Linked DNA regions of Canis lupus familiaris. The protein of the gene in region 7 interacts with the protein of the main gene of each other region in a pairwise test. Links are inferred from orthologs where the notes say so. Each region holds a gene or a part of one and is shown on either strand. Other genes may lie near its edges.

What was found.
Region 1: the proteins of FATE1 (region 7) and BIK interact in binary tests that used the Homo sapiens proteins (3 or more experiments, as listed by UniProt). The two-hybrid records come from large-scale screens. The link is inferred for Canis lupus familiaris from reciprocal best matches to the Homo sapiens genes FATE1 and BIK.
Region 2: the proteins of FATE1 (region 7) and MARCHF5 interact in binary tests that used the Homo sapiens proteins (3 or more experiments, as listed by UniProt). The two-hybrid records come from large-scale screens. The link is inferred for Canis lupus familiaris from reciprocal best matches to the Homo sapiens genes FATE1 and MARCHF5.
Region 3: the proteins of FATE1 (region 7) and KCNS2 interact in binary tests that used the Homo sapiens proteins (3 or more experiments, as listed by UniProt). The two-hybrid records come from large-scale screens. The link is inferred for Canis lupus familiaris from reciprocal best matches to the Homo sapiens genes FATE1 and KCNS2.
Region 4: the proteins of FATE1 (region 7) and SYNGR1 interact in binary tests that used the Homo sapiens proteins (3 or more experiments, as listed by UniProt). The two-hybrid records come from large-scale screens. The link is inferred for Canis lupus familiaris from reciprocal best matches to the Homo sapiens genes FATE1 and SYNGR1.
Region 5: the proteins of FATE1 (region 7) and KASH5 interact in binary tests that used the Homo sapiens proteins (3 or more experiments, as listed by UniProt). The two-hybrid records come from large-scale screens. The link is inferred for Canis lupus familiaris from reciprocal best matches to the Homo sapiens genes FATE1 and KASH5.
Region 6: the proteins of FATE1 (region 7) and INPP5K interact in binary tests that used the Homo sapiens proteins (3 or more experiments, as listed by UniProt). The link is inferred for Canis lupus familiaris from reciprocal best matches to the Homo sapiens genes FATE1 and INPP5K.

The regions. Positions count from the first base shown.
Region 1 is NC_049231.1:23,375,692-23,378,672, reverse strand, and holds the end of BIK (bcl-2-interacting killer), read left to right. Parts: intron 1-162; coding exon 163-270; intron 271-924; coding exon 925-1,042; intron 1,043-1,924; coding exon 1,925-2,014; 3' UTR 2,015-2,481; downstream 2,482-2,981.
Region 2 is NC_049249.1:6,950,792-6,954,291, forward strand, and holds the end of MARCHF5 (E3 ubiquitin-protein ligase MARCHF5), read left to right. Parts: intron 1-87; coding exon 88-204; 3' UTR 205-3,055; downstream 3,056-3,500. UniProt on the Homo sapiens protein: Mitochondrial E3 ubiquitin-protein ligase that plays a crucial role in the control of mitochondrial morphology by acting as a positive regulator of mitochondrial fission and as an important regulator of immune response.
Region 3 is NC_049234.1:728,009-732,062, forward strand, and holds the start of KCNS2 (potassium voltage-gated channel subfamily S member 2), read left to right. Parts: upstream 1-1,254; 5' UTR 1,255-1,276; coding exon of another isoform or gene 1,277-1,927; intron 1,928-1,942; 5' UTR 1,943-1,984; coding exon 1,985-3,418; 3' UTR 3,419-4,054. Other genes in the region: proline-rich proteoglycan 2-like, read left to right, coding at 1,277-1,927. UniProt on the Homo sapiens protein: Potassium channel regulatory subunit that modulate the delayed rectifier voltage-gated potassium channel activity of KCNB1 and KCNB2 by altering their kinetics, expression levels, and shifting the half-inactivation potential to more polarized values.
Region 4 is NC_049231.1:26,653,415-26,656,914, reverse strand, and holds part of SYNGR1 (synaptogyrin-1), read left to right. Parts: intron 1-911; coding exon 912-1,149; intron 1,150-2,454; coding exon 2,455-2,600; intron 2,601-3,500. UniProt on the Homo sapiens protein: May play a role in regulated exocytosis. Modulates the localization of synaptophysin/SYP into synaptic-like microvesicles and may therefore play a role in synaptic-like microvesicle formation and/or maturation.
Region 5 is NC_049222.1:107,757,135-107,760,634, reverse strand, and holds part of KASH5 (protein KASH5), read left to right. Parts: intron 1-1,461; coding exon 1,462-1,539; intron 1,540-1,796; coding exon 1,797-1,853; intron 1,854-2,161; coding exon 2,162-2,221; intron 2,222-2,825; coding exon 2,826-2,890; intron 2,891-3,052; coding exon 3,053-3,140; intron 3,141-3,442; coding exon 3,443-3,500. UniProt on the Homo sapiens protein: As a component of the LINC (LInker of Nucleoskeleton and Cytoskeleton) complex, involved in the connection between the nuclear lamina and the cytoskeleton.
Region 6 is NC_049230.1:45,609,638-45,613,137, reverse strand, and holds part of INPP5K (inositol polyphosphate 5-phosphatase K), read left to right. Parts: intron 1-3,303; coding exon 3,304-3,490; intron 3,491-3,500. UniProt on the Homo sapiens protein: Inositol 5-phosphatase which acts on inositol 1,4,5-trisphosphate, inositol 1,3,4,5-tetrakisphosphate, phosphatidylinositol 4,5-bisphosphate and phosphatidylinositol 3,4,5-trisphosphate.
Region 7 is NC_049260.1:120,980,317-120,984,403, forward strand, and holds the start of FATE1 (fetal and adult testis-expressed transcript protein), read left to right. Parts: upstream 1-1,287; 5' UTR 1,288-1,382; coding exon 1,383-1,488; intron 1,489-2,511; coding exon 2,512-2,639; intron 2,640-4,087. UniProt on the Homo sapiens protein: Involved in the regulation of endoplasmic reticulum (ER)-mitochondria coupling. Negatively regulates the ER-mitochondria distance and Ca(2+) transfer from ER to mitochondria possibly implicating it in the regulation of apoptosis.

The DNA.
Region 1 (2,981 bases), on a different chromosome or scaffold from region 7:
AAAGTGGGGGCCAGGGGAGGGGCATGTGAAGGTTCCCTGCCCCCCACCTTGCTCTGTGCCGCCCCTTGCCTCCCACAAATCCGGGGCCCGGTGGGCCAGGTGGGCCTGTGTATGGGGGTCACCACACGGCCACACCCCTAATTCCCTGTGCCCTCCCCACAGCAACAACCCCGACGATGTGGCCATGCGGCTGGCCTTCATCGGGGACGAGATGGAAGTGAGATGGATGCTTCCCCGCGTTGGCGAGCTGCCCGGGATGGCCATGTACAGGTGGTGCCCCCCCCAGCCCTCCACCTCCTGCCCCGCCCCTGCCCCTGGGCCACAGACTAAGCACAACCCAGTGCCTTCCTCTGCCTCTTCATCAAGCCAAGACTGTGCTTTTCCGAAAGGGTCTTGACTTAAAGTGCTGGTAGGAAGTGGTGAGCTTGGCGAAGCCGTGTGTCCTGCCGGGAGGCATCTGTCCTGAGCACACTGTGTACTTCCACCATTTGCCAGCATCTCTGGGTTCTCAAGGTGGGGATGTGGAAACCCTCCCCCTAAGCCAGAGCGACTGTGGTCTCCTGGTCCCCAGGGAGGCAGCCTTCTGTTGGGGTGCCTGGGCCTCCATCACAGCAAAGATCCTCCGGAGGGAGGACCGGCAGGTCCTTGGGCCGGTGAGCAGTGGAGCATTTTCCAGAACCCAAGACCAAAACCCCCGGTAGGCCGGTGGGTAGGGGAAGGAAACAGGAAATCAGATGCATTAGGACCAGAAATGGCCCGTGGAGAGAGAACCTCTGGTGGATCCACCCGGGGAAGGGGGTAGAGTGGTGTGGGGGGGAGGGGACGCCGCCCTCCTCTCCCCGCGGGGGTCCCCTGAAATAAAGGCCATCTCCGCCCCTGTTCCCTGCAGTAATGGCCCTGCTTCCCTGCCCATTTGTCTTACAGCTTGGCTTTTACCTACAACCAGACAGGCCTGAGAGGTGTTCTTAGAAGTTTCCTGGATGGTCTTGCTAACCTCAGGGAGAACATCCGCATCTGGAGCTTCCTGACCTTCCGGAACAGGGTAAATGAACCGTGAACTCTGTGACCTTGACTTACCCGCCTGCCTGCGGTGACACCTGCAGCCACGGAGCTGCTGCCCCGCAGAGCATGTCCTCGGGTGCCACAGACTGCTCCTCCCCGCCCCCCGTTGTCTTGTGGTGCCTGCTTGCCCTCGTTTCTCCCGGTTTTCAGCTTGGAGACCCCTGGTTTATCAGCTCCATGCTCCGGTTCTTTTTTTCTTTTTTTAAGATTTTATTTACTTATTAATGAGAGACACACACACACAGAGGCAGACACACAGGCAGAGGGAGAAGCAGGCTCCGTGCGTGTGGGAGCCCGATGCGGGACTCGATCCCGGGCCTGCAGGATCATGCCCTGGGCTGAAGGCGGCGCTAAACCGCTGAGCCTCCTGGGCTGCCCCCCACCCTATGCTCCAGTTCTCAGGCGTGTTTGCTCCCACACCCATGCTCCGGCTCCCCACCCACCCCCCGGGAGCACCTTCACCAGCCCCGCGTGAGCCTCCCTAACCATCCTCGCTCCTCTGCCCGGCAGGTGCCTCTCCTGAGCCTCTTTCCCGACCCTCCTTGTCTGTCCCAGCAGCACCGGGGACCGTCCCTTACCCTAGCTCAGCCCCCACTGGTGCCCACGGCGGCCTGGGTAGGCTTCTCCTCTGCCGCCTCCCGGGCCGTCTCCCCGGCCCACCTGTGCTCTGGCTTCTGGGTGCTGTCCCCACCTGTGAGCTGTGCTGTCCGGAGACGCTCCTGTGTCCCCGCCTCCCTGACCCACTCTCCAGCACCCTCTCAGCCACCCTGGTTCACCCCGTGCCCCTGAGCACACGTGGGGGGCACCTGAGCACCCCCGGCCCCGGCTGGAGGTCTCACCTCTCCCGCCCTTCATCCCACAGGTGTCCCCCAACCCGGGGCGCGGGCTGGTGCTGTCGCTGCTGCTGCTGCTGGTGCTGCTACTAGGCTGGGGCCTCCGCCTCCTCCAGTGATACCAGCTGGAGCCGCTGGGGACGGGGCTGGCCTCGCCCCCGCCCGACCGCCACCCTGGAGGTGGCCTTGCTGGTTTTGTTGTCTTTTTTAACTGTTTTCTGCTGATCCCTTTTTTTATATTTAAACTCCGAGTGCTGGGACACTACTGAGGTTTCATACTAGTTTTTTCTTTCTTTTTTGTAAGAGAAATGAATTCATTATACCTCGGGGGTCGTTACTGGTTAACTGCCCGCGCCAAGGCCTGGCTGGGCCGCTCTCCTGGCCTCAGCCCCTGAGGTGGCCTGGGTGCTGTCACTGCCACCACCACCCGGCAGGGAAGGAGCCTGGAGCCTTCCTCTGGCGGCGGGGGTTGGGGGGGGAGTGCTGGCCACACCCCCATGTCGGGAAGGCCCCTGGGCGAAGAGAAAATCTGCTGGAATAGATTTGATGGCTGAGGAGAGCTCAATAAAATGTTGTTTCCAGCTGGTCTCTGGTCCTCTCTGGGGTTTGCCGCCCGGCTCTGGCCCCTTGCTGGAGACTCAAGGGGGAGGGGGAGAGAGGGCGGGCGTGTGCAAGCACCTGTACGTGATCACACACCTGCAGGCTCTTTCCTGCACCTGCTGTCGTGAAGTTTGGCCCAACACAATCAGGTTTATGCCTTCTCTCGTCGTGCCTGGTGCCTGAATCTACCATTAGGGATTATTTCCTTTGGGCCTTCAGTCTTACAGCTGGGCTGCCTGCCCTCCCCAGGTTTGCTCATCCAGCACTCCCCGCTGGACAGTGCGGCCTGCAGGGAGAAGGGGCTAGATGAGGGGCACCCCCGTGAGGGTCCAGCCTGCCCCAGACCTGGGCCCAGTGCTGTTTCTAGACCCAGTCAGGTCCTCTTTCTGGAACTTGGGCTCTGACTGTCCCCCTGCCCCACCACAGTTCCCGTCTCAGATGCCAGCCCTGGGCTGGGCCCCCCCTTGCTCCAGCCCCGTGCCCACG
Region 2 (3,500 bases), on a different chromosome or scaffold from region 7:
TGTGTCTCTAATAGATAAATAAAATCTTTTAAAAAATAAAATAAATAAATCTGCATTATAAAAAGCTAATTTTCCTTTTTATTTTAGGGTGGAATTGCTTTTGTTGCCATAAAAGGAGCATTCAAGGTTTACTTCAAACAACAGCAATATTTACGTCAGGCACACCGCAAAATTCTAAATTATCCAGAGCAAGAAGAAGCATAAAACTTTGACTTCTAGTTATTCTGCAGTCCTTTCATCCTTAATGAGTCTGTTGTGTTGTTCTGATTCCATCATTAATGCACAGTAGTGGAGACTTATGATAAGCTGCTGCTCATATTTTTAAGAAATATAATAAAGCACTTAGGGCAGGGGAAATCCTCTCAGTAATCACGGAACCTGAGGTTGTGATTTGTTTTCATTGTTTTGTATGTACTTCTTTTATGGCAGTCATCTGAACCATTATCTTAGCATGGTAAACCTGGGTTTTGTTCATATTTTCTCCAGATAGAAATGTAAAGATCAAACTGTGCAAATATTTAAAAATGCACATGCTGTTTTATTCAAATGCCTCTTTTGTACGTGTTCATGTTCAGTGTTTTCTTAGAATCAGCAACTCAATGAAGGTACTATGAGGATTTTTCTCACTGGCATAATTTGATTACATGCTAAACAGGAGTATATGTTAATATGAGGATATGTAAATTAGTTATAAAAAATAACAAACCAAAAATGTATGTAAACATTCAAATTATTATCTGAACAAATGCGATTTTGTTGTGTTTTTCTGAACCCATGTGACGTCCTCCAAAATGTGTAGGGTAAAAATTCACAGGGCTTCCAAATCACTTTTTCACTATTAAATTTTATTTATATAATGTTGACATCTCATAGTTCATAATGTAATTTTGACTCATATAGTCATAATTACCGTGTGTGTGTGTGTGTGTGTGTGTGTGTGTGTGTGTGTAAAAGAGAGGGAGAGAGTCATCAGGTCCTTCAATCACTGGAGTAAGGTTTTTAAATCCATATTTCTAGAAATTAGAGCTGTCAGTTTATAGTAGTTTGAGCACAGAGAACGATTTGCAAAAAAAAAAAAAAAAAAAATCAATAAAGTTCTTTTACTCTTCTCTTTCATTGATTCAGTTATTCAGGTATTTGTTGATCACCTCCTATTTGCCCAGGCATTATACAAAGTGCTGTGGGAGACAATGGTGAACACGACAGACTTGGTTCCTGCTTTTATGCAGTTTACCGTCTAGTTTCAACAGATAGAAAACCAGCAGTGAGTAAACCAAGGTGAGGCCTTGAGCTCTTTGTTTTTATACCAGTCAGTGAGGAGATAATTATGAAAACAAGAAGTCTTGAGTAAATATTGAGGTTATTGTTTTTGGCTTAAATCAGTTTATTATAAAAACCAGTACTAACATTTTTAGATTTTAATTGCTTGTCATATTGATGAGGTTAGCACCTTAATCACTGTAACTAGTTTTATGTTCATTTTTAAAAAGCAATTATTTATTTTAAGCCATCTTTAATAGTGGCCTTTTTAATGTTGTTCAGCAATCTGGATGGTCTTGCAGTTATTTTCACTAATTAAAATTAAGTTTTTAAAAGATAGTTCCAAAAACTGTATTGAATTTCTTGTTCACAGTATCTAATGCATGACAATAATTAACGTTTCCCTTACTGATAAGTGGCCACTTCTTTTTAGGAGTGTAGCAAATATAGATTGAGCTATGTTAGATTGCAATAATGTATGTTAACTTTAGTAATTTAAGACTGGTACCTTTCTATAGTATGAATGTCTTAATTCTGTGTTATAAAGTTTATGTGAATGGCTGTTGAACAGAGTTGTAATTATTTTGGGAGGAAGGGAATATTTGACTGACAGTGAGCCTTATTAAGAACACTGCTATAGTTCTGAAGGGGAAATATAAAATCTATGATTATATATAAAAATAACTTAGATTATATAGCTGTAATTATAAAATATATTGGCTTTTCTTTAATTTTCAATATAAGAAAGACATAGTAGATATTTCCTGCATAATTTTGTTATATAGAACAACTTTTAGGCAGCCTTTAATAAAATTATACAAGCACACCGTTCCCCAGTTACTACTTTGTGGCCAAGATGGAGGGAGTAGCTGTTTACATCTACTGGCATCAGGGCTCATGAGTGCCAGAAAAACAACTCTAATCCTTTTGGGGGGTGGGTGCAGCAGGGAGGGGTTTCTAGGGCTGTGGGGAGGGAATTGCAAGTGCCTGGGAACCAGAGAGGCCTCTAGCCCTGGAATTTAACACTCTTAAATCTAAAAAACCTTAGCTCAGAAAGTACCACATACCAGTCTTCAGAAAGGTGACCTATACCACTATGAACAACTTAAGAGCTGACTAAAGTTGATAGACCTGGGTTCCAATTCTGATTCTGCTTTTACTAACTGGATGTATGACAATGGCCAACTGGCTGTCTCTCAGCTGCAGTTTTCTTCATCTCTGAAATACAAGTAATACTTCTATCTCAGAAGACCATTTCTAGGATTAACTGAGAAAGGAACAGAGGCACTTTAGGCTTGAGACAGGCCCTACAGAGCAGTAGCTGTTTCTTAATTGTTAAGTAGTCTTTTCATGCTCTAGGAAAAGGGAATGAAGAGGTAAGAGAATGGTGTTAGGAGACAGATTAAAGGGATGTTGTAGACTTTGGGATGGGTAGGTATATTGTGTTTTCCAGTTGGGTTGGGTGGGTATATTTTGTGTTTTCCCATTTATTTTCACATTGCTTTACGGTGTTATTTCTATAAACTTCAATGTTTTAAACCTCTTTTATAAAATTCAGTGACAACTAGTAGAATTTTCTTCTTTGCAGAAGTTAACTTATCTCCAAAGTGGCTGAAAATATTGTTCATCAGTACATGATTATCAAATGACTGTGAAGAATATAAAATTAAACTTAGTGACTTAATTAGTCACTGCCTTGCTAACTGTGCTGTAATTTTTTTAAACGTCTTGTTTTTAATATAGCAGACTATCTCAATAGTGGCTGGATTAGGTTAAATAAAGAATTTTTATGTTCTCTAGGTGTACTTTGTCTGTTGAACAATTTCCAAAGCATAATCTGTTAATTCTGTACCTAACCAATTTTTTAAAATTTTAGTTATCAAGATACTAGATTTTTCTTTTAGTAAAAATCTGAAATTTTAAAAAACTAAAGAGGAATTGTCTTAATACAAGCAGGCTAGCCTAAATTCCAATTATGTTTTGATTTTTTAAAATGTATACTCAGCCACTTGAACTATGATTAGATAAGCAACCACATACAAGATATGTGGGTGGCCTCATGCTACAGGGTATCTTAAAAGTATATTCAAGTGGGTTAGAAACACATTTAAAAAACAAGTTGGGGGATGCCTGGGTGGCTCAGTGGCTGAGCATCTGCCTTTGGCTCAGGGCATGATCCCTGTTTAGGGATCGAGTCCCACATCAGGATCCCTATGAGGAGCCTGCTTCTCCCTCTGCCT
Region 3 (4,054 bases), on a different chromosome or scaffold from region 7:
TACGAAAAGGGCTGAACGACCAAGGGGGGAGGGTTCCCAGAGCTGTAGGTCCATTTCTCAACTCAAGCTCAAGCCCAACAGGCAGTGACTTAAGGAACAATCTTTGGGGACCAAGAGCTCAGATTTGGGCCACAAGTCTCCTGGGGAATGGGGACACAGATACTGAGCTCATCTACACTGGCCCATACCTGGATGGTTCCCATGGTGTCTACAGGCACACACTTCTCATTGTGTTTTACACAGACCCTGTCAGTCCCACTGAATGCTACACTATACAGCACACAGTCACCCATTGTGATGCATACACTGACATGCCCTATATCTCCTGTTCTGACATACTGTACACACCTCCTCACCCTTCACAGTTTCCATTTTTATCAGCACTGCACATGCAGACATTGAAAAATCCTACAGCCCTCAGACTTACACACACACACAGCCCCCACCATCCTTTAAAGCCTGCACACCACACCGGCCTGTGCACTATACACAGGGCGTCCACACAGAATTCCCCGAAAGAACCCTTTGCTCCCCAGGAGGTGGATCCCGCCCCTGGCAAGCTAAAATGAGCTGACCTCAGGCTTCCCTGCCCCTTTCTTCCCTCCCGCTGCCTTTCCCCAACGCCCACCCCCAGCTTCAGGAAACTTTCCATCAGATCCCTAAAAGGGGAAACCCGGGCTTCCTCGAGCCCTGCCCCCCCAGGCTCACGCAAGCTGCCCCCCCTTCCCCGGCTGGGCTCTCACCGGCACCCAGAGGGGAAAGGTCACCGTAGGCGGTCCCCTGCCTGCGCCCTGGGAGTGAACAGCTGTCACCGAGACCTAGGGGAGGTGCCGGCCCCGTGTCGCCGCAGGAGCGCAAAGGGGTCGCGGGGACGCTCGGGTCGAGCGTCGAGAAGCCGAGGCGGCGGCGGCGGCGTCTCCCGGGCCCGGGGCGGCCGAGCCTGGCGCTGGGGCGCGTGGAGCTGTCCGTTCAGCACCGGCGCGCGGCGCCCCAGCCCCACTCCCGCTCCGGCTCCCGCGGGCGCGTGCGGCGCGGGCCGCTGCCTCCCTCGGGGGCCGAGGGGCACGCAGAGCGGGAGGAGGGGGCTCTGCGAGCTGCGGGGCCGCGCAGCCACCTGTGAGCCTCCCGCGACCACGAGCGGCGGCGGCATCTCCGGCTGGACGCGGCAGGAGACGCTTGGCGGACCCCGCCCGCCGGCCCGCCGGGCGCACACACACAGGCGCACACCCGGGCGCACCCGCGCGCACACGCACAGCCGGCCGCGGCGGCCGCGGCGATGCCGACAAGCAGGTCGGGGAAGTTTCCCGCCGGCCTCGGCCGCGGGCCCCCGTGCTCGCAGGTAAGCGCCTCCAGAACGCGTGGGGTGAGCCCTGGCAGCCCGCTGGGTAAGGCGCGGCGCACGCGGCCCCGGGGCACCGCGCCAGGCGGGCGGGGAGGCCCGGGGCGGGGAGTGAGGGGCTTCCGTCTTGAGGGCCGGACGCAGGGGATGCCAGGCTGCCCGCCCCCAGCCTGGGCTGGCGGACCCAGGCAGCGAACCCCCCCCCCCGCCCCGGGGCTGCGCGCCGCCACCCCGCTCGGCCCAGCCCGGCCGTGCGCATCCCAGGGACAGTCCCGCCGGTCTGCGGCGGGCGGGCGGGGGCGTCTCCTCGGCCCGCCCACGCGCAAGGTCGGCTGCCTGCCCCCCGGGGCTCTCAGAGTAAAGCGGCCCACGGGACCCCCGCGGCGAGGGTGCAGGCGCGGCCACGCTCCTGGAATTCTACCCCCTCCTCCCGAGCCTTTCCTGGGGAAGGGGCCAAACCGCACGGGCCTCCCCCGTCCCGGAGCCCGCAGGCCTCGGATGCCCGCCCGGGGAGGGCTGAGCCGGCCGGGGACGCGCGGCGGAGAGGAGGGTCCCGGTCCCCGAGCGCCCCGCGCTCACGAGGCGTGACTCCCCCGCCCGCAGGTGTAGCGCCGCCGCGCGGCACGGGCGCCGGGAGCCTCCAGCATGACCCGCCGGAGCCCGTGGGACGCGAACGAGGCCAACGTCGAAGACGGGGAGATCCGCGTCAACGTAGGGGGCTTCCGGAGGCGGCTGCGCTCGCACACGCTGCTGCGCTTCCCGGAGACGCGCCTGGGCCGCCTGCTGCTCTGCCGCTCGCGCGAGGCCATCCTGGAGCTCTGCGACGACTACGACGACGCGCAGCGCGAGTTCTACTTCGACCGCAACCCCGAGCTGTTCCCCTACGTGCTGCACTTCTACCACACCGGCAAGCTGCACGTCATGGCGGAGCTGTGCGTCTTCTCCTTCAGCCAGGAGATCGAGTACTGGGGCATAAACGAGTTCTTCATCGACTCCTGCTGCAGCTACAGCTACCACGGCCGCAAAGTGGAGCCGGAGCAGGAGAAGTGGGACGAGCAGAGCGACCAGGAGAGCACCACGTCCTCCTTCGATGAGATCCTGGCTTTCTACAGCGACGCCTCCAAGTTCGATGGGCAGCCGCTGGGCAACTTCCGCAGGCAGCTGTGGCTGGCGCTGGACAACCCCGGCTACTCGGTCTTGAGCAGGATCTTCAGTGTCTTGTCTATCCTGGTGGTGCTGGGGTCCATCATCACCATGTGCCTGAATAGCCTGCCGGACTTCCAGATACCTGACAGCCAGGGCAACCCTGGAGAGGACCCCAGGTTCGAAATTGTGGAGCATTTCGGCATTGCCTGGTTCACGTTTGAGCTGGTGGCCAGGTTTGCTGTGGCCCCTGACTTCCTCAAGTTTTTCAAGAACGCCCTAAACCTCATTGACCTCATGTCCATCGTCCCCTTTTACATCACTCTGGTAGTGAATCTGGTGGTGGAGAGTACACCGACCTTGGCCAACTTGGGCAGGGTGGCCCAGGTCCTGAGGCTGATGAGGATTTTTCGCATCTTGAAGCTGGCTAGACACTCCACTGGCCTCCGCTCCCTGGGGGCCACCCTGAAATACAGCTACAAAGAAGTAGGGCTGCTCTTGCTCTATCTCTCTGTGGGGATTTCTATCTTCTCCGTTGTGGCCTACACCATTGAAAAGGAGGAGAATGAGGGCCTCACCACCATCCCCGCCTGCTGGTGGTGGGCCACCGTCAGTATGACCACTGTGGGATATGGGGATGTGGTCCCAGGAACTACGGCAGGGAAGCTGACCGCCTCTGCCTGCATCCTGGCAGGTATCCTGGTGGTGGTGCTGCCCATCACCTTGATCTTCAATAAGTTCTCCCACTTTTATCGGCGCCAAAAGCAACTTGAGAGTGCCATGCGGAGCTGTGACTTCGGAGATGGAATGAAGGAGGTCCCTTCCATCAATTTAAGGGACTACTATGCCCATAAAGTTAAATCCCTCATGGCAAGCCTGACGAATATGAGCAGGAGCTCACCAAGTGAACTAAGTTTAAATGATTCCCCACATTAGCTGAGAGGACTTGTCATCTTCAAACCCACACTGCTGAGTTGCCTCCTGTGCCTCTGGCACAGTTCAGGCACCTTGTGGTTATGGTGTAAGAAGTACGCCCAACCCTAAAGGGGAGAGATGCATGGGATATGCACCCCAGGTTGCTTTTACAAGTATTTAGAATCATTTTTAGAGGGTGTTGTGTCAGACACCATGCCTTTGCACCCTTCAATGAAATGACACTCACTGGTCTTTGCTTTGTGGGCATAAAATGTTCACCTTTCTGCCAGAGGAGTACCACCCAGAATGCTAATTTTTCTGTTTATTGTGTGCTCTACTCTAGTGCTCGTGGCCCAGTACTGTCTGTGAGTTGTTTGTGCTCTTGTCTCTGAGGTTGTCATGTGAGTTTTGTACAAAATGCTCCCACAAGTCCATCCAGTGAAAACACATCTGTGGGTTCAGCAAGAACGTGATGGGATTTTTGCTCAGTCAGGTGAAAACAAAATCTCAGTCCTTTAGCCACCGCTTTCATTTAGTTTTGTTACCAAAACAAAGAATGTGAAGTTAAGCACACATGACCGATGCAAGTCCGTGTGTTGTTTTTACAAATAATCTGTAGCTCTGTGGCTTGCATGGGCACACGGGTCACCTTTAGGA
Region 4 (3,500 bases), on a different chromosome or scaffold from region 7:
CAGAGGGAGAAAACTCCATGCATACTCTCTGCTGAGCACAGAGCTGGCCACAGGGCTTAATCCCAGGACCCAGAGATCATGACCCAAGCCAAAATCAAGAGTCCGAGGCTTAACCAACTGAGACACCCAGGCGCCCTTACTTTTTTTTTTTTTTTAAGATTTATTTATTTATTTATTTATTTATTTATTTAGAGAATGCACATGCATGAGAGTGTGCGTGCGTGCACGTGAGATTACATGAGCAAGGGAAGGGGCAGAGGAAGAAAATCTGAAGCAGACTCTCGGCTGAGCCCCCGGGAGCCCAGTGTGAGGCTCAGTCTCCCAACCCTGAGCTCATGACCAGAACTGAAATCAAGAGTCAGATGCCCAACCAACCCAGGCATCCCTAGTGATACTTGTTCATTTATTACACCTTCCATTTGCAGGGCCTGGGCAACAGGGAAGAGTTGGACCCAGGGACAGGATCTGGGGCTCCACAGAGGGGTGGGGAGCACAAGCTGGGGCTGGGCAGGTCCATCTCCCAGAAGGGCATGACACCACTCAGGAGGCCAGGTCCAGTCCCGGAGGAATTTTGGTGTCAGGGTGCAGGAAGACCTCTCAGGACCTGGGTGGGGGAGCAGTAGGGCCGGACCTGTGGTCAGAGGGTCCTTAGTGCCCAAGGCTGAGGAAGGAGGTGATCGTCCCCTCCTGTGCTGTGCCACCCTAAGCGAGTCGCCTGCCTTCTCTGAGCCTTCCCGCTGAAACGCATGCTTAACTGCAGCCCTGTGGCCATGTGGGGTGAAGAGGGCTCACTGGGGCAAGGGTCGGGGCAGGCAGCAGGCTGCCCAACCGTATACCCTTCTCCAAGCCCAGCGCTGGCTCGAGGCCCGCCTGGACCTCACGCCCGGCCTGGCCTGTCCCCACCCTGACAGGTGTTCTCCATCGTGGTGTTCGGCTCCATTGTGAACGAGGGCTACCTCAACAGCAACTCGGGAGGCGAGACGTTCTGCATCTACAACCGCAACCCCAGCGCCTGCAGCTACGGTGTGACCGTGGGTGTGCTCGCCTTCCTCACCTGCCTGCTCTACCTGGCCCTGGACGTGTACTTCCCGCAGATCAGCAGTGTCAAGGACCGCAAGAAGGCCGTCCTGTCTGACATTGGGGTCTCAGGTGAGTCCCCCGCCCCAGTGGGCGCCCCCTGGCTCCGCAGAGCCTGCCGCGGGCCGTCCTCCCACCTGCCTTCTCCTGCTTTCCAGATGAGGAGGCGCAGGTGGGTGAGGGGACCAGCAGGGGTCACGTGGCTGGCAGCAGGGAGTGGGGGGAGCGGGGGTGGGCCCGAGTCCCTGGAACAGCCCTCGGCTCCCCAGCAGGGAGTGGACAAGGCTTCCTGCCCTTCAGAGGTCTCTCTGGGCCACCTCGGGGGAACCATGCGACAAGTGACGCAGGGCTGCTGGCCTTGCGCTGTCCAGGCCCAGGGAGGGTGGGGACCTGACATGACCTGCTGCCCCTGTCCTCCGGAAACAGCCTTTGGCAGAGATGACCCGACCTCTTTCCCTGCGAGTTCTGAGAGTCTGATCACTGGGTGCTTTGGTTGAGGGGCAGGGAGGTCTCGGGTCTCACGTCTCTGGCTGAGACCCCACACACACCCCCAGTACCGGGCCTGAGACTCTCAGGATGAGCCTGGCTGACTGTAAGCAGTGAGGCCAGTCCCTGAGACTGGAAAGCTAGAATGACACGAATGGTTCTCAAAGTGTATTCCACGGAGCCGCTGGGTTCCCCAGCAGTGCCCATGTGGGAGATGTTGGGCCCTAGACACCCCAGCCCTTTGGCACACACGTTATCTGAGCAGCTCTGGGGAGACTCTGGGTGCCCACAGAAGATCTCATTGCCACGAACCTCCCCCTGCTAAACTCCCCAGGCCTCGGCTCTAGAGGTCCCTCCGTAACCTCGGGCTTTGGGCTTTGGGAGGCTGCAGGCACAAAAGGCAGTGCTCAGACCACCCCCCCCCGCCCCCGCAGCCTCCTTCTACCCACTTCTCTGGGAGGCTGCAGTGGGTGGGTGGGCTGGGGCCTCAGATCTGTGCTCCTCCCAGAATGCTGCAGGGTGGTCTGCGGTCCCCAGGCAGGGATTCAGCTGGGAAATCTGTGTTTGGCTGAGATGACAGAAATGCCCGCCCAAGCTGACTGACTTTTTTTCTCTGTTTCTCCTGCCTTCCCTCCCCTTACCGCCTCTGGCTCTCCCCGGGGCTGCTCCTGGCCTTGCTGTCTGCACGGCCGACCCCTTTCTGTGCCGTCTCTCCCACTCTGCGTCTGACCCACCTTCCCTCTGCTCCCCTCTCTGCCACATCCCTGCCCTTGCCTCTCCCTTTGGGGTTTGGGGAGCATGGGAGACGTGCTCCCGAACCTCTCCCTGTTCCTCCCCACTCACCCTCTCTCACACCTGGCCCCTTCTGCCTGGCCCCGGTGGACACCCCAGCCTTCTGGGCCTTCCTCTGGTTTGTGGGCTTCTGCTTCCTGACCAACCAGTGGCAGGTGTCCAAGCCCAAGGACAACCCGATGAATGAAGGGACAGATGCGGCCCGAGCCGCCATCACCTTCTCCTTCTTCTCCATCTTCACATGGGTGAGTACACGGCCCACCCCACCATACACCCGCACTCGCCCACCCCAGCCAGGGTCCCGAGCTGGTGGCCTGGTAGCTGAGCTGGGGACTCCATTCTGCTTCCTGGGGCCCATACGGCCCCCTGTTTCTCTCCTCGACACTCACATGAGCTGCTTCCTGAGGAAGGAGGCTCTTGCCAGTGCCAGCAAGGACAGTCACCTAGGGCCAGTAGACCCGCACTTTGGCACAGAGCACCCCTCCAGTGATCACAAACGTCCCTCCCAACCACTCTGGCAGTTGGATCGTGGGCGTTTACTATAACCTGTTACAGACACAAGCAGGGACCCAGACGGGAAGATATGGCTTTGCAGTTCCGAGGCTGGGAAGGAGCCCAGGCCTAGGCGTCAGGAAACCTGGGCCACATCGTGGGGTGGCCTCCATCTTCCCATCTGTAAAATCAGGAGATTGAATTTGGGGAGGGAGGGTGTCACAAACCCAGATGCCCACGGGGCAGGTGGGCAGCATATGAGGAATGATGAGTGGACCAGGTGGCAGGTACCTACCCCAACAAAGGGCACCCTCGACCCCTGTTCCAAAGCAGAAATGGGGATCCACACAGGCCAGGTCTCCTGTTTTCCAGAGAAGCCAGAAGTCTGAATTTCTGTGTGAAATCTGATCTTTATGTATCAGTAATTTATTCAAGTTAAAAAAAAAAAAAATACTGTGTGGGTCAAAGAATGTCTCTGGGCCCAACTGGCCAGATGGCACCTCTTCCCCTCTGCAGGCTCCGGACCAGGCTGGGCCCCTTCCCCACTGGTTCCAGGCCGCCTTGATGTATTCTCTTATCATCTCCCTCCTGCAGATATCTGGGGTCACCTTGGCTCCAGGCTCCCATCCCAAGGCTTCTCCCCCCACTGCGCA
Region 5 (3,500 bases), on a different chromosome or scaffold from region 7:
AAGAGGTGGGGGAGGGGTGATGCCAATAAAAACATTAACAGTTGGGACAACCAGACATTACATTCTTCCCGAATGGTGCAATATGACGTGTACAGCACCCGTGAAATCTTCCTGCCAAAAGATTGAACGGGAGCCTGGTCAGGGCCCTGGAGCTACCCACTTCTGCAGAGGAAGTAAAGAGGTGGGAGGAATGTGGTGAGCATCCAGCACAGAGAATGAGAACTCAGGAAGCCAAATCCTAATGCACCAACTCCACAGGACAAATAACCTGATTTCCTAAACAAAAGAAGGGCCCCCAAAATGTCGGGGAGGTGAGCAACCACTGTCAGAGGAAAAGAACTGAGACATTTCAGCCAAAAACCACAGCAGACCTTGTTTGGATCCTCATGTAAAAGACTCAATGTGAAAAGATCTTGTGAGACAACCAAAATGAAAAAAAAAAAAAAAAAAAAAACAAATTCTATATGCGATAGTAAGGAATTATTACTTTTGTTAAGAGTGATAGTTGGTATTGTGAGTTTGGTAAAGTAAAAAATTCCTTAAGCAGGAAATTAAAATGCCGAGAGTCGTTCCAGATAGAAATAATAGAATACCTGGCATTTGCTTTAGAATCATCTGTGAAACGAAACAAGACAAAAAACCTTGGAGGAGGGCAGCCCAGGTGGCTCAGCAGTTTAGCGCTGCCTTTGGCCCAGGGTGTGATCCTGGAGACCCAGGATCGAGTCCCACGTCGGGCTCCCTGCATGGAGCCTGCTTCTCCCTCTGCCTGTGTCTTGTCTCTGCCTCTCTCTATCTCTCTCTCTCTCTCCCCCTGTGTCTCTCATGAATAAATAAATATTTTAAAAACAAACAAACAAAACAAACAAACAAAAAAAAAAAAAAACCTTGGAGGATAGGGAAGAAACCAGGGAAATGTAAATAATTACTGAAGTTGGCTGATGAGTAGTGGGAGTCCATTATACTGGTATTTTTACTCATGTGTGTGTGAAAAACATGAAGTTTTGAAAATATCTTAAAAACATGTATTTTACATTTCCTGAACATCGTTCCATAAGTGCAGGGTGCTATTCTGAATGCTTTGTGCTTAGTAGCGTGTGTTTGCATGAATTACCACCTGTATGACTTGGGGGGTGGGGAAGCAGGCGGTGGGCTAGGGGTGGAGGTTGCTTAACCTGTCTTTACCTTCACAATACTGCAGAAGAAATGAGGTAACACTTGCAAGGTGTTCAGGACAGGCTAGCAGATACTGTTACCAGCCCTGTGAAGTACATTTGTGTACCCAATGATGCACAGAGAAATCAAACTGGGACCTCATAGGATGGGTGGAGGGGTTAAATGAACCCAAACCTATAAAGTGCCCGAGGCCTGTCATGGCATGTCAGCGGTTGAGAAAATGCCAGCTGTGGGTACTAATATTCCCATTGGCTGAAGTGGACTTGACGGGTCTTTTCCTTCTTCCAGAACGGGAAGCTGCTGGCTGAACGGGATGGAGTCAAAAGGAGGAGTGAGGAGCTGGCCACAGAGAAGGAGGCTTTGAAGGTGCCACCCCTCCCTGGTGGCCATTTTATCAGTTTCAGCCCCTCTGGCCTCGTGAAAGCCGGGGCCTTCATCCAGCCATCAGGCTCCCAGGGCTCTGGGCAGCTCAGCTGCAATCCCTCTTGGGATAGCTCATGTCCAGAGACATCGTGGGAGGTTGAGAGGGGCTTGGGAGAGTTGGGTGGGCTGGGAAGGGCAGCAGCACTAGCTGAGGCCAGTCCCAGGAGGCTGGACAGATGGACAGGCTCCTTCCTTGGCAGTGGCAGCTCTGTGAGTGTGAACGCCTCATTTGCCAACGAGATGCTGTCCTCTCCGAGGTGAGAGGCCCCAGGGGGTGGTGAAGGACATTTACCTCCCATGTGCTCCCGGCTATCCCCTGCCCCTGCCCCAAGGTCTGGAAAGGGAAGTCCTGCCTGGGTCTCATCCCCTGGATAAGCAGCCTGGAGGGGTCAGAGGGTTCCCTGCACCCAGGGTGGCAAGTATGTCCCTGCAGGATTTAGAAACCTGGCGCTCTTCCCCCTGGCCCAAGCTCTTCCCTCAGACTCACCCTGCCAGTCTCCCCTAGCCCTGCCTCAGCATCTTTGCGGGGCTGGGCCCAGTCTCAGGGGGCTTTGGGCTTCTCCAGCGCACTCACCACGCTGAGGGTCTGGCCAAGACGTTGGAGGAGTACAGAACAACCACCCAGGTACCCGACTGCCTTCCTGCCCACCCGTGGCCCCCTGCCTGGCCCCACTCTTCTGCCATCTCTGTGATTTTCTGCCTCCTCTTGCCCCTGTCTCTCTTTTTCTGGAGTTGTGTGTGTCTCTCTCTCTACCTTTTCACTTGCCCTTTGTTTCCTTCCTCTCTCTCCCACCCTGCGTAACTCCATCTCGGGTCCAGTTTCATTCTCTGGGAGGGTCTTGTCACCACTGCATCTCCCCTGCTTATCTTTCTGTGTGCCTGCCTTTCTTTGATCTAATCTGTCTTTAGGGATAACTCTCCCCTCTGTGGGTTCTGAGGGTTCTGAGTCTCTTACTCCTCATGAGTCTTTTACCTCTCCGTGAATCTGTGGCCATGTATCCTGTTTTTAATCTTCCTGGCTGGTGGGCTACCCTCTGGGTTCCTGCTGCTCTCTAGCTCTCTTTGGCTTCCTGAGTTTCTGTCACTGCTCTCTTCCCCTTGTCCCTGGGCAAGACGCTTCTGGAGGAGCCCAGGGAAATCAGGGGAGTGGAACTGACTGTCGGAGGAGCCCAAGGCTGGGAGATGGAGAAGAACAGAGGGGCAGGGGTCCCCCACTCCCTCCTTTGCAGGAACTGAGGCTGGAAATCTCACACCTGGAAGAGAAGCTGAGTCAGACCCAGGAGGGGCCAGATGAGTGAGTGGAACATAAGGGGTAGAGGAGGTAGGAGGGGAGCCCCAAGGCCGGGAACCCTGACCTCCAGCCCCAATGTGGGCAAAGTAGCCACCCCAGAGGGGGTGTACTGATGGGTAGTGGGCAGGCACAAAGAGAGCCTTCCCCTCTTGACCATGTGCCCAGGCTATCAGAAGGGGCCCAAGTGAGAAGAGTGGGCTGGACCAGGCTGCTGCCCCCATCGCTGGGTGTAGAGATTGAGGCCATTCAGCAGGTGGGCCTGGCTCCTGGGGAGCACCCCAACCCATTGCCAGCCCCGGCTCTAACCCAGCCCTGATTCTCACCATACCCCATCCTCCCCCAACGAGGACCATCTCAATCCTTCACCTACATCATCCCCACCCCCATCCTTGGTCCTGCTGCCAAACCCTTCCCAGGCCCTGCCTCTACCCGCTTCCCAGCCCAGCCTCACACCAGCCCCTTGTCTCCTCCCACCCCATGCCTCAATGCCTCAGCCCATCTCCATCCCCATCTCTCACCCGACTTTTGCCTTCACCTGGCCCTCCCTGGCCTTAGAAAGGACTTCTCCTCTCCCAGAAACAAGAAGTGGCAGCCGCTGCTCTCTCAAGCCCTC
Region 6 (3,500 bases), on a different chromosome or scaffold from region 7:
AACTTTGTTTCAGACAAAGGTCCTTGAGGACCTTGTCAGTCCCATTTTTCAGATGCCCAGTTGCCCGGCACATAATAAGGGCTCAGTAAATCTTCATTGAAAGACTGAAGCAGGATACCTGGATGGCTCAGTGGTTGAGTGCCTGCCTTTGCCTCAGGGTGATCTGAGGAGTGATCTCAGGGTCCTGGGATCAAGTCCCACATCGAGCCTGCTTCTCCCTCTGCCTATGTCTCTGCCTCTCTGTGTCTCTCATGAATAAATAAATAAAATATTTTTTTAAAAAAGAAAGACTGAAGCATACAGGTGCCCAGTGATAAGCCTGGGCAGGCCCTGGAAAAGGAGGAAGGAAAGACAGGCAGTGGTCAGGACTTAAGGAGGATCCTGAAGTGACAACAAGTCACCATATAGGGAAGTTGGGGTGGGGCAATGCTTTGAAAGGGAGAGTGGTACTTTGTGTGGTTCATTCCCAAGTTTAAGCATTGCCAGATACGTGGGTTCGGAGATTCTGTGTCTGTCATGTCTGGGGTGGAAATAGCACTCTGCAGAATAGCTCTGAGCATTCCTCAGAAGAGTGGAAGGTTCAGACAACGCGAGGAGCCTGAGCCAGTTAGTGATTCTTGACCACTCCCTTGACACACCCTAATTTGTTTAAGCTCTTAATGGCTCTTTGAAGGAAGTACTGTTATCACCCCATCTTAGAGCTGAAGGAGCTGAAGCTGGCAGTAGTGAAGCCACTTGCCCATGAGCATGTAGCTTTTTCCCTTTCTCCTTTAAACTAGATTACCAGTTAATTATAAAATGATATAATTCAGGAACAGGAATATGGAAAAGGTGCCTAGGGCAAGGTGTGACGAGAAGGCAAGGAGCTTCCATGCCCTCTGAGCCCACCACTCTAAGTCACGTGTTCACCAACCAGAACCACATAGCTCTTAATTAACAGGGCAGAACCTTCCCCCAAATCCTGGTGTCTGAGTCAGACTTTACCAGCGAGACATCATTCTGCCTCTGTTGCTAGAAGACTGTATTACTGTTGAATGGACAACAGTATGTCGGAAATGTTTATTTAAAACAGTAAGTGAATAAAACAGAAGGCGAAAAATAGCATTGCAAACTGGTTATCAGCATCTGAAACTGTATACATTAGGATTGGATGGGCGTTTTTGTTTTTTGTTTTTTTAAGTTATTGAAGAGGGGATCCCTGGGTGGCTTAGAGTTCAGCCCCTGCCTTTGGCCCAGGGGGTGATCCTGGGGTCCGGGAATCGAGTCCCACGTTGGGCTCCCAGCATGGAGCCTGCTTCTCCCTCCTCCTCTCTCTCTCTCTCTCTATCATGAATAAATAAATAAAATCTTAAAAAAATATAAAATAAAGTTATTGAAGAGTTTTATTTTTTTTAAGATTTTATTTATTTATTCATAGACAGAGAGAAAGAGAGGCAGAGACACAGGCAGAGGGAGAAGCAGGCTCCATGCAGGGAGCCTGATGTGGGACTCCATCCCAGGTCTCCAGGATCACACCCCAGGCTGCAGGCAGCGCCAAACCCCTGTGCCACTGGGGCTGCCCTGGATGGGCGTTTTTTGAGGAGAGAGATTTGAGTTTGGGGTTTTAGTTTAGGTTCTTTTTTTTCTTTTTTTTTTTTAAAGATTTATTTATTCATGAAAGACACAGAGAGAGAAGCAGGCTCCCCACAGGGAGCCCTATGCAGGACTAGATCCTAGATCCAAGGATCACACCCTGAACTGAAGGGAGACGCTCAACCGCTGGACCACCCAGGAGTCGCTAGTTTAGGTTCTACAAGCAGTTGTGCCTACTATGTGCTAGGCTCTGTACTAAAGCTGAGGCTGTGCAGGAGACCTTGAGAGCCCGTGCTTGCCTTCTGAGCTCACACTAGCCAACTTGCAGACTGGGAAACAGGAAACGACAGCACTGGATAACATAATAGGGGAAGCACTGGTACAAAATGCTTTGAGGGCAGAAAGCAAAGCTCAAAGACGGCTTTCAGACAAAGACAGCATTGGAATTGGGCCTCTCTCTGTGAAGAAGGGTGTTCCAGGCAGCAAAAACTGCAAGAGTAAAGGTCCAGAGGCTGGAGAGTCACTGGTGTGGACGGGTCTGGGACGGTACGGGGAGATAGAGAAGGGGAAGGGTGTCAGGAAAAAAGCCATCCTTGGGGACTTGAGCCTTATTCTGGAGGCAGTGAAAACTCCTGAAAGGTTTTAAAGTGGGGAACCAAAAATAAATAAATAAAGTGGGGAACCATCTGACTAAGATTTACTACTCTGGGTTCATTTAAAATCAAGGGGGAGGAACCCAGAACAGCAACTGCTTCCACTGCCATTCCAGATTGTGGGGTCTCCCCTTGGAGGGCACAGCCTGCTTGCCCAGCCAGTCTTAAAAAACACCTCAATAGCTGACTGGGCATAGCTGTGTTAGGAGTCAGAGACTTGCCTGTCTTGGGTAAAAGTAACCTAGGGGAGGAAAGCACTCCAGTCTCCAGGGGCTATACGGCCTCTTGAGTGAGTGAAGCTGGTTAAGCAAAGAACAGGCCAGAGATCTCTCAGTTGACTATTAAGAACGAAGCGCAGAGAGCTTATTTTGTACCAGGCACTGTGCTAAATATTTCATGTGCCCTATTTCATTTAATCATGTCAGCAACCCTGTGGGGTAACTATTATTACCTTCATCTTATGGATGAGAAAGCAGAGGCCTAAGAGGGGTTAGCTTGGTGGTTAAGAACTTGTGTTCTGTGGTCATGCTGCCTGGCCTTGAATCCTGACTCCGCCACTCAGTAGCCATGTGACTTTGTGAAGGTTCTTTCCTCACTAAGTTTCAGTTTCTCCACCTGTGAGAGGGGGACAGGTGGTACTGACGGCAGGCACATGGTGAACCTCCTGAAGTGCTTCCCTTTCTTTTCCTGAGATCTCACCATTAGTGAAATTGAAGCCAAATTCCAGCTTACCTCTGACTCCAAAGTCCTAGCCTCAGCTTCTTTGGTCTACTGCTGTTTTTGTTCTAGAAGTAAGAAAGGCTTTGAAATGGAATGTTTCTAGATCACAATTTGACTCATAAAAATGTAGACCTGACTAAAGGCCCTGACTGATTCTGACAAAGGCCAGTATGCTTCTGATTCCTACCTACTACCATGCCACACTCCCACTGTGGCCCAGGGGTCTTGGGGCCACCAATAGACCCTGATGTTCGGGGTTCCAGCAGGCTTGTTTGGGGTACATCTTGCTCTCCTGCCAACCCATCTTGCTCTCCTGCCAACCCTTTTCTCCACATTCTTTTTCCTCCTCCACCCCCAGTGAGAAAAAGCGCAAGCCTGCATGGACCGACCGCATCCTATGGAGGTTGAAGCGGCAGCCCCAAGCCAATCCCCACAACCAGAGGCTGCCAGTCCCCCACTTCTGCCTGTCTCTGAGGAGCTATGTCAGCCACATGATGTACTGCATCAGTGACCATAAGCCTGTCACCAGCACCTTTGACTTGGAGGTGAATTTCC
Region 7 (4,087 bases):
GGTTCCTTTTTTTTTCCATGTCCTCACCAACACTTGTTTCTTGTATTGTTGATTTTAGCCATTCTCACAGGGGTGAGGTGATACCTCATGGTGGTTTTGATTTGCATTTCCCTGATGATGAGTGATGCTGAGCATCTTTTCACATGTCTGTTGGCCATCTGTATGTCTTCTTTGGAAATAAGTCTATTCAGGTCCTCTGCCCCTTCTTAAATTGGATTTTTTTGTTTTTCTAGTGCTGACAGTTGTATCAGTTCTTTATATATTTTGCATTTTAACCCCTTCTCAGATACATCATTTGCCCATATCTTTTCCCATTCACTAGGTTGCCTTTCTGTTTTGTTGACAGGTTCCTTTACTGTGCCAAAGCTTTGTATTCTGATTTAGTCCCAGGAGTTTTTGTTTGCTTTTGTTTCCCGATGTTGCATTCTTGAGCAAAATTTCTTCTTCGCTGGAAAACCTCAGTCTTTGCTCTTCAGGCCTTTCAACTCATTAAATGAGGCCTATCCACATTATCAAGGATTAGTAATGTCTTTTACTTAAAGTCCACAGAGTGCAAATGTCAACCAAAGCTCCAAAATAACTTCATAGCAACACCTAGACTAGTGTTTGATGGAATAACTGGGAACTATAGGCTACCCAACGAACAGATAAACTTGACCCTCACAGTGGTCTAATCATTAGGGAAGCTGAGAGAGAATTTGGACTTAGACCAGGGACTGCAGGGCCTGCCTGGGGACAGTGGGCCCTCCAGTGGCTACAGGTAGATCCCTTCTTTCCTGCCCTTCCCTCCTTAGATTCTCATGGTTCCTGCTCAGACTGACCCAAGGCATTAAAAGGCCATCTCCCCTGGGAACTCTACATTGGGGGGAAACAAGATGTGCTCTGTAGAGGATGCCTCCTGAGGGGAGCTGTGGCCTGAAATACTTGCCAGAGCTGGGCTTGCAGAAGCCACAACAAGTTTGGGATCTAACCCTGTTCTGGCTACTGACTGGCTTTGGGGTCCTGTGCCAGTATCTACCTCTCTTTAGAAATGATGGAGAGTAGATCCCACTGGCCCCTCAATGGGGCCAAATCATGTGACCCGAGAGCCAGGGTAGTTCTCACAGGCAAAGTTTCTGAGATAAGTATCAGAAACTCCTCCTCCTAAGTTGCTTACAGAGTAGCAGGGGAGAAGACTGTGAACCAAGCCAATAAGATACAACAGGAACACAAGGTGCTGGGTCCAAGGCCTGAGTCCTGTGGGAGAGTGTGGCTCCACCCCCATGGCCAGATATATCTTCCTCGAGCTCCTGCCCCTGGAAGAGCAGACTTTCCAAGAGTCTGCTCTGTGCCCGGCTTCCTGTGTATCCTGGCTATAGCTTAATAGCTAAGCGCTAGCTGTGATGGCAGGAGGCCCCCCTACTATCAAGGAGGAGATGGAAACATCCATCGCTGAAGAGCTGGTTCCTGGAAACTATGGGAAAAGCCAGGAGCACCTGGTGATAGCAGGTGAGGAGCCCCTGTAATGTCCCTTTCCTTTGGGTGTCTGCACCCAGTCACATGTGTTGGAGAAGGTGTGTTCATGGCTGGGAAGAGTCATATATATGCAAGTATGTGTGGCTATGTGTGTGTCTGTGCCTTGGTGTGCGTATACCTGTATTTGTGCCTTGATGAACAGGAAGCTGGGGGGGAAAGGTATTGATGATGTGAGCATTTTGAAGCCTGTGAGAGAGTAGGATGGGATCCACATGTGTGGTCCTTATCTCCCCCTGTCCAAGCTACCACTGTGTTTATGGCAAAGTATCCAGAGCGCTCAATTTATAAGATCATTCAGACCAATTCTCTCTCCTTTTTAATGCCTTTTCCTCCTTTAGAGTAAAATCCAAACTCCTTTCCTTGATCTACAAGAGCCAGCCAATGCCACCTCCTCAATATATTTCATGCTGTGGTATGATGACCCACAGCACACTGCATTTATACTTGTCCTCATAAGACCCGAAGGCTGATTCTTCCTGATAGCCTTTGTGTTGACTGCTACCTCTGCCTGGGATGCTGTTTTCCTAGATTTTCCATGGCTGCCATCATTTTTGTCTTTCAGGTCTCTGCCTCACAGGTGTTTCTGGCTTTTCTAGAAGTAGCCCTTCCTTCCACCATGTTGCCCTGTTCTTATCATTTTGGGAGCATGTATCTCTTGATCTGAGTTAACACTGATAGATTATACCCATTTTGCACCCCTCACTTCAGCTAAGCACACATAGACAGTTGATTACTAGATTGCTGAGATCTTGTGTCTTGGTCATTGCTCTCCCTCCAGTAACCTAGCCCAGAGTTTGGCCCTCAAGAAATACTTACTAAACTTTTAAACAAATGAACAGACTGAGGCTTGGGATCTGCCAGGGGACAACAGTGAATGAATATTGAATGACTCCTAAGAAGTTTGGGTACCTTATCCTCTTTCTGGTGTGTCCTGTGTCCAGGAAGCCTTGGTATAGCCTCTATGGGTGTTTCTGGGGCCTCTCTTCTTTTGCCTAGAAATGATGGAGCATGGATCCCAGTCTGTGGGTGCTTCTCAGCGGCGACAGAAGGCGGATCCAAAGGCTGCTGGCTCTGCTGCAGGTCAATCGGGTTGGAATATGACTGGCAACCGGAGCAAGAAAGCGGTACTGTATGGAGTCCTTGGCATGCAGTGGCTAGGCTGGGGTTGGGACAACAGACTAAAGGGGCTCCAGCTTCATGACGGTAGGTTGAGCAGAGCCAGATGTTGACTTGGGGCCAAAGGAAAAAGCTTTTGTGTACCAGTGAGGCAATGAAGGCAGGGATGTCCTTTGAGAGGTCAGGGCCATCCTTTGGTAGGCTGGGAGCTCAACCTTGGGTTTCCAGAACACCGGATTCACATATTCCTTGGGGACTACATATACACTTTATTTTGCAAAACTCTATTGTGTGTGAAATGACACTTTCCTTTATAAATAAATAATTCTATATGTATATTTCCTTCCATATCTATATTATCTATATTATCTATATAAATTATAACTATATAAATTATTTAATTATCAACTAAATAATCAGCCTGGAATCATGAGAATCATTGATGAATAAAAGGAAGGAAGGATAGGAAAGAAAGAATCTGTCTGTAGCCATTGGAGGCCCCACTGTCCCCATACAGGTCCTACAGTCTCTGGTCTAAGTCCAAATTCTCCCTCAGCTTCCCTAATGATTAGATCACTATGAGGGTCAAGTTTACCTGTTTGTTGGGTAGCCTGTAGTTCCCAGTTATTCCATCAAACACTAGTCTAGGTGTTGCCATGAAGGCATTTTGGAATTTATTTTATTTTATTTTTATTTTTATTTTTTTAAAGATTTATTTATTTATTTATGATAGAGAGAGAAAGAGAGAGGCAGAGACACAGGAGGAGGGAGAAGCAGCTCCATGCACCGGGAGCCCGACGCCGGACTTGATCCCGGAACTCCAGGATCGCGCCCTGGGCCAAAGGCAGGCACTAAACCGCTGAGCCACCCAGGGATCCCCATCATTTTGGAATTTTAGTTAGCATCTACACTCTGTGGACTTTAAGTAAAAGACATTAGTAATCCTTGATACTGTAGATGGACCTCATCTACGCTATTAAATAGAAATATACATACATAAAACAATATGATTCTCAAGTCTGGAAAAAGATTAAGACAAGTTAGGTTCCTATGTTCCCTGGCTGTTAGGAAATCCAATCAATTGAATCTGACCATTATGTAGCCAATCCTTTAAAGTACCTTTAATGTGGGTTAAGAAAAGCTCTGGAAAACTGGCAGGTACACTGTTACAAAGGATACTGGGAAAAGGTGGTCATTTTGGAGAGGAGGGAGACCTGAGTGTTCTAGGGAATCCCGTGAGATCTCTCACTGTGTAGCCAATCCTTTAGGTTACATTCACTGCTAAGTGAGAAGAAGCTTTGGAAACATGGTTGCTATACTGTTGCAAAAGTTGCTGGAAAAAGAGAACCCAGTTGGAGAGGAGAGGGACCTGACTGTTGAAGGGAGTCATCTGAGTTTCAAGTTCTGTATCCAATCTGTTCCACACTTTCACTGTGAGGGAGGGAAAGCTTTAGAA